Linked DNA regions of Drosophila melanogaster. The protein of the gene in region 1 interacts with the protein of each later gene in a pairwise test. Each region holds a gene or a part of one and is shown in the gene's direction. Other genes may lie near its edges.

What was found. The genes of interacting proteins can lie anywhere in the genome.
Region 2: the proteins of CG11583 (region 1) and CG1542 interact in binary tests that used the Drosophila melanogaster proteins (3 or more experiments, as listed by UniProt).

Annotation. Positions count from the first base shown.
Region 1 is NT_037436.4:4,280,954-4,284,824, reverse strand, and holds CG11583 (uncharacterized protein), read left to right. Parts: upstream 1-2,007; 5' UTR 2,008-2,095; coding exon 2,096-2,215; intron 2,216-2,276; coding exon 2,277-3,227; 3' UTR 3,228-3,321; downstream 3,322-3,871. Other genes in the region: CG1316 (uncharacterized protein), read right to left, coding at 1-220, 284-478, 542-861; srw (shrew), read left to right, coding at 1,347-1,757; Ctl1 (choline transporter-like 1), read right to left, coding at 3,479-3,709, 3,767-3,871. UniProt on the Drosophila melanogaster protein: Required for biogenesis of the 60S ribosomal subunit.
Region 2 is NT_033777.3:31,211,877-31,215,290, forward strand, and holds CG1542 (uncharacterized protein), read left to right. Parts: upstream 1-1,581; 5' UTR 1,582-1,667; coding exon 1,668-1,733; intron 1,734-1,795; coding exon 1,796-1,879; intron 1,880-1,937; coding exon 1,938-2,711; 3' UTR 2,712-2,908; downstream 2,909-3,414. Other genes in the region: zwilch, read right to left, coding at 1-249, 307-1,413; CG15561 (uncharacterized protein), read right to left, coding at 2,932-3,414. UniProt on the Drosophila melanogaster protein: Required for the processing of the 27S pre-rRNA.

The DNA of each region.
Region 1 (3,871 bases):
ATTCCAGTCGTTGTTGTAGCTGTTGCTGCCGCCGCCACCGCTGCTGCTACCGCCTCCATTGAAATTGGAATTGCCACGTCCCGAGCTGCTATACAAGGGATTGTCCTCGGAGGGACGGCCGTACTGGTCACGCTGTGTGCGTGTAGAACCCTTTGGCTCGGCAAAGACAGCTTTATACTTGGCGGAGCAGTTTTCGAAAGCCACAGCTGCATAGTAAAACCTGTGCATTGAGATTAGATTAGTTATGGCTAGGACAATTAGCAATGCTACATTCGCCACGCACTTGGTAAAGCGGACATATCCGAAGCCCTTGGGATTGCCATTGTTCTTCTCCTTGACAATTGTGACAGATTCCACATCGCCCCACTGCGAGAATTCCTCGCGAATATCCTCCTCGGTGGCTGTTTTGGGGATCACTATGAAGAGTCTCACGTACTTCTCCTGCTCGTTCTCAGACTTATTTGAGCCCTGATTGCGACTGGAAGAGGAGGATAAGAGTTAGACCATGGTTTTGGGCCAGTACTCTCGAAGCTAATCTTACTTGGCTGCCACCAGGACTTTAAGGGTGCGATCCATCTTGCCAATGGTCTTGCCGTTCATCTCCTCCTGTGCCTTGGCAGCATCGGATGTCTTGGAGAACTTGACGTACGCGATTCCCTTGTTCTCCTGGGTGTGCTTGTCCTTCACCACCCAGATATCCTCGATTTCGCCGTATGGCGAGAAGGCTTCACGGAAATCCTCCTCGGTGTGCGCCTTGTTGCAAATGATGAAGAGACGCGACATCGGCGGATCGTCGTCGTTCGAGTACTCCTGACCGCCACGTCCCCCGCCACTGCGCGATTGCGATCTATAGTCCGACATGGTTCTGATTTATCTATATTTTTTCCGCTCCGTTAAAATTATTTGCACTTCGACTTTTCTCGCTTTTGCCGCTTTGACACACAGCCGTATACAGACAAGATAGAGATGTGAACTGATCGATATACGTCTAAACTGTTTCGATGGCTGTGTACGCTGTGGTTCCTTTGATTGAACTGGTTCTTACACTATAACCGCATAAAATACATTTAAAAATCCATATTTCATAAAGTAATTTCTAACAGCTCGGAATGTTAAAGATCCCAACTGCGTTGCATGGATTAAAGTATTAATTTCCAATAATAAGTCAGCAAAAAGGGCCATTGCGGGCATTTAGGTAATAGTTATAAAAATAGATAAAGCCCTTAGTGGCAGCTGGTGAGTGATTTTCTACCTGAAACATTATACCACCTACTACCTGTACTATATTCTTATTTAAAAACCGTTTGTAAGTGCGCCAACACTTCAGTTGCATATTCCAAATCAATATGAAAACACTTCTGACTATCTACATTTTGCTATCCTTTGGAGAGTTAGGCCTCGCTAACATGGCACAAATGCGAAAGAAATCGCACACCGAGGAATTCGAAGGAATGCCAGCCTTGTTCAGGGCCATGTCCTCATCTCCAAACGATGGATACACATACAATTGGAGCGTGGTCTCGTTTTCAACGAATGGAAAACCAGGATCTGGTCTAAATTGCACCGTTTTGTATCTGGATCAGTGCACATCCTGGAATAAGTGTCGACAGACCTGCCTGAAAACCGGAGCCACCAGCTACAGGTGGTTTCATGACGGATGTTGCGAGTGCGTGGGAGAACTTTGCATGAATTACGGCGTAAATGAGAGCAGATGTCGACTATGTCCTGAACCCGGACTTGAAGATGAAGATGATTGAAAATCCCTTGTCAGCAGCTAGAGGCTAATTATCGGATGCTATACGTCATGCTAATTGTAATTTCAAATTAATTTATAGATTATGAAAATTTAAAAGTTTATTTAGCTTAACGAAAATAAAAGAAACCGTTAAAAAATATTTTACCTACATTTTTCTAGTTTTTGATTTAAAATTACGGACTTTTCAAATACTTCCCATAAAGTGTTGCAAAATACCACTATTCGGGTGCACGTGCTGTTGACGCCCTGGCTTTGAATGAATAGCCATCCCTGGTTGTTGTCACTCCACGTTTTGCCTTCGCACTGTTCAATTGTTTTTAATTATTTAAACTACAAAAAATGGGTCGCAAATTCCAGAATAAGAAAAAGAAGGCCGCGCCGCAGCTGGAGATAGTGCCGCTGGATGAAAATCCACCACTGCCGCCACAGAGATCGTCAGATGATGTGGTGCCCAAAAAGGCAAGAAAAGTGACTTTTTTAAACCCGAATTTCTTAACTAAAAACTGGATTTTATTTACAGGAAAAATGGGTGAACAAACAGCGCGTGCTGGTCTTCTCCGCCCGCGGTATTAGCCACCGGGACCGGCACTTAATGAAGGATATTAAGACCCTAATGCCGCACCACCGACCCGAATCCAAAATGGAGCGCTCCAAAACCTTGTCGGTGGTCAACGAAATGTGCGAAATGAAGCACTGCAACAAGGCGATGCTGTTCGAGGGACGCCGGAAAAGGGATCTGTACATGTGGATATCCAACACCTCGGGATCGACTGGTCCATCCGCTAAATTCCTCATCGAAAACATTCATACAATGGCCGAACTGAAGATGACGGGAAACTGCTTGCGGGGATCACGTCCGCTGCTCTCGTTTGACTCCAAATTCGACGAGCTGCCGCACCTTAAGCTGCTCAAGGAGCTGTTCGTGCAGACCTACTCCGTGCCCAACCATCATCCCAAGAGCCAGCCCTTCGTCGATCACGTTTTCACCTTCACCTACCTGGACAAACGCATCTGGTTCAGAAATTTCCAGATTCTATCCGAAGATGGCGGTTTGTCCGAAGTCGGGCCGCGTTACGTGATGAATCCTGTAAAAATATTCGATGGTTCCTTCACTGGCAAAACCATTTGGGAGAATCCGGACTACGTGAGTCCATCCAAACAGCGGCAGGTACTTAAGAAGGCTGCCAAGGATAAGTACGTGAACCGAGTGGAGCAAAAGGTCAAGCACGAGGCCACGCGACCTATTAGAGCCTACGATGGCATGGATAACGATGAGCTATTCGAGGACGATGATCCCGTGGAGACGGCCAAGATACTGGCTGCGATAGCCAAAAAGAAGAAGGAGGAAGCCGCCAAACAGACACCCAAATCGGCGCTGACCAAGAAGATCAAGGAGAAACAACTGCAGGCCGTGAAAGATGTGATTGAAAGAAAGAAGGCAAGAACCATTAAACGCGTGAAAAAGGTTTAAACACCTCATTTTACATTAAGATACAAAAACGATTAAACTTTATAAATACGTTTACAAACTGTGCATCCTAAGTTTGAATATATCAATAGACAAGATTACCAGTTATTATTAGTCCCACTGTTCTGCTTTGTACGTCGCGACGGAGTAATGGTATGTATATAAATATTAACATCCTAATGAGATGTGCGTTGAGTTTCGGGGGGTTCTGCGCTTGGAATACAAAAGCGAAAGCATCTAGCTGCGTCTTAGAACTAATCCGCCGACATGGGAGCTACCTCGGGATCGGACTGAGGGAGTCGGGTAATACTAAATGGCTGCTTGTTGATGGGCATCATTTGAACAACTTCGATGGGCGGCTCCTCGCCAGGCTGCAGCGGTTCCTCGCCTACCAGCTTGGCCAAGTTACTCTGTGCCCAACGACCAGAGCGACCATTCAGGGTCTTATCCTCGCAGACACAGAGGAATAAGGTATCCACTACCATCTATTAACGAGTCATAGGTTAGCCATAAGCTTGGTCGTATTGTAAAGGAATACCTACCTCAAAAAGCGAGAGGATAATGTGAGCAATAAAGAAGGAGAATATGATGATGATTATGACGGGAGCCATGTAGAAATTCAGACCGGGCTTATCCTTGAGCAAAAC
Region 2 (3,414 bases), on another chromosome or scaffold:
TCGAAGCTGGGGCAGATTCTGGGGAGAACCATCGTCCATCGACGCTCCGCTGGAGTCATCCTTCAACAGATTGGTGCTGCACATCTTGCTCTCGGTGTAGATAAACTCGTAGTCCTTGTACAACTTCTCCAGGCCAATTTCCAAAAGCAGTTCCAGAGGCTCGGCCCCACTTAAACAAGGCATGGCCAGACGACGGTTGGCCAACTCGGTGATAATCTTGGCAAGTCGATTTTTGTTAGTAGGCGTGTTCTATGGGGTGAGGAACATGAATAATATGTGGTGGTTTGCATGCATTAGCATACTTACTACTATGTTACACCGTGCAGCACATTGGAAGAGCATACTAAAGGCAATTTTGAGATCCTTGTAGGAGTGGCAGCACTTGAGCAGCTCCCAAAGCTTATCGGTTAGATCCGTGAGCTGGCGAACCTTGGCCCTCTGCACCACATCTTCGATGTCAAACTCCGCATTGCTGATGCTATACCGACCTATAAGGCCAGAGACATCTGTCATTGTCTGATTAATGGACTCGCGCAGCTCGTCCATGTCAATGCCACTGCCACAACGATAGGTGGGATCCCGAGAGACGCCCTGCTTGACATCCGTGTGGTAGGAGACGATGTCCTCGCGTATGTAGACCAGAATGCGCAGCTGATTCATAAAGTCCTGCGTCAAAGGACCGCAGTCGCCCACGCGAAAAGTGTGATTCAAAGCCACATCGCAGTCGTTCAGGTTCACCAGGAGCGGAAGTGCAGCACTAGAGGTCCAGGAGCAGCGTAGTCTCATGTGGGGATTGACCTGGTAGCTATTTTCAATGAGAGTTTCATCCGGTGTCTTGCCATGATGGCGCACCAGGGCTTGCGAGGTTACTAAGTAAGCAGGGCGCACACCCTGGTAGCTAAGTATTCCCCTGGAGAAGTGCGTAGGGTTGAACTCGTACTGGAGCAACTGAGTCTGCCCGAGATCACTGCCGTCGCACAAAAACCACACGGATCCGAGTCCCTCGGCCAGCTGCAGGAACTCGGAGCACACGATGGACCTAGCCTTGTCCACGGGTATTCCGCGTTGATATTCCTCCTCCAGCTTCCAGGGATTCGAGTGATCCAGCTGCAGGTCGATGGACAAGTCGGCTATGGCGTCCACCAGGCAGTCGTCCTTCAAAGGACTTCCCGTCAGATCCAAGTCCGCAGAGCCCTCTTTTTTTGGGGCTGCCCTGGTGGGCGTGGTCCGGAGTCTCGCCACTGCTCCATTGCGATCCTCCTTAAAGACCAGCACAATCTTCTTGCCAGCTTCCGCAGCCCCCACCATGCTCACCAAGTAGGTGGGTGGCGCTCCATAGGTGATCGTGTATGACTCGCCACACCGCCGCATTAGCTCCGCGTAAACGTTTGCCAAGTTCGCAGAAGCCGACATTTTTGGAGCAAATTCGCAAAACAGAAACAAAAAGCGGCAGTATTTGAAAAGCGAAGCGAGAATTGGTTAAACGGTCACACAGCACTTCGCTTTTTAGTGCACCTCAATAATTTTAGCAGTAAGCCGCGTGAAGGTCACACTGCAACATCGATAGCCGATAGACTTAGGCCAGCAACAATCGATAATTCTTATCCCCGCACGTGTTGAAATTGTTTTCTTTTATTTGGATCAGATTTAATTTAGTTAATTCAGACATGTCGGACTTTGAAATGGAGGACAGTGCCTCGGGCTACGACTCAGGGGATAACTCAGATGCCGAGGTAAGTGAGGAACCGAAGAAATGAACACCCCGTATACCAAAATCTCCACTCTTTTCCTGCAGCTGCAAGCGGCATTTGAGCGAGGCGACTTGAAACCAGGCCTAAATGTGGAATTCAATGGCCAGAGAGACAAAGTGAACGATGTGGTAAGTAGCTAGCTGGATGCCCGCTTTTGAATCGACTAATCCAATCCTGCCCACATAGACCAAACTGCTGGCCAAGACAGAGGCTATCAAGATGCAACTGCCTTGGCTGGAACGCCTGGACATGATCAACACACTAGCTCCACTGGCGCCGGAACTCGCTGTACAGCTGGAGAAGCACGAGCAGAAGCGGGCCAATCTCTTCAAGGGCAACGCCAAGCTGCCCTACATTCGGCCCGAGGAGGATCCCGTCCTGAATGACTTCAAGAGGGAGATGCTCTTCCACCGACAGGCGCAAAGTGCTGTTCTGGAGGCCATTCCCCGCCTTCACGAGCTGGGCATAAAGACTCGTCGACCCGATGACTACTTCGCTGAAATGGCCAAGTCCGACGAGCACATGCAGAAGGTGCGCGCCAACCTGATGGCCAAACAGCAAGGACAGGCGAAATCCGAGCGCATCAAGCAGATCCGCGAGCAGCGCAAGATGGGCAAGATGCTGGCCAAACAGACCAAGGTCCAACGCGAAGCCGAGAAGAAGGACATGCTGGACAAACTGAAGAAGTTCCGCAAGGGCAAGCTGAAAAACCTGGACTTCCTGGAGGACGCCAAGGCGCTTGAGTCCAAGCAGAAGCAGTCAGCCGAGAATCGCAAGAAGCGCAACAAGAAGTTCGGCTTCGGCGGCAAGAAGAAGGGCCTCAAGAGGAACACAAAGTCCTCCTCCGCGGGATTGGATGGCGACAAGTCCTCCAGGCGCCAGCGGGGCGTAAAGGCAGGTGCTTCGGTCAACAAGCGGCTTGGCAAATCGCGACGCATTAAGGCCAAGGGCAGAAAGTAATCCCCGGGACTGCCGACTATATTTAGGTGACCAAACTCTAGTTTTATAAAGCCCCCAATCCTGTATAGATTTTTTAGACCCATAAATACATAACATTTTGTGTGCACACAGCCTTACTTTCGAAATGTGGAATACTCCGTATAGAATTTTAGAATTCCATGAGCAATTTTCATAAATTACATTTTTCTAACATCGTTTATTCTAAAGTGGACTATAACTATTACACGTTCTCCTTGTTCTTTCGTTTCTTTTTTAGTTTTGTGCTAGTTTCCGATTCCTCCGAAGAGTCCGCCGTTTTTCGCTTCTTTTTTGACTTTACTTGTTCATCAGTTTCAACATCCTGGGGCAGTCCTTCAGTTGCTCCAAGCCCTGCTTGCCTATCCGCTCTCTTGTCCTTCTTCTTTTTTATCTTCACTGGCTCTTCGACTTCCACACCGTCTTCCTCTCCCGGCTCCCGTGTCTTATTTTTTTTCCTCTTGATCTTGACGGGATCTTCTGGAGTTTGATGTGCTGGGGATTCCTTTCCTGCCTTCTCAGCCTTGTCTTTCTTCTTTTTCTTGGATTTTATGGGCTCTTCCAGTTGGGAAACCTCACATGCCTCGGAAAACTCCTCCGCTATGGATTTTTTCTTTTTCTTTGCCTTCGTATCACACTGCTCCACACTGTCATCAACTGACTCCACTGCTCGATGCTCGGTTTCAGG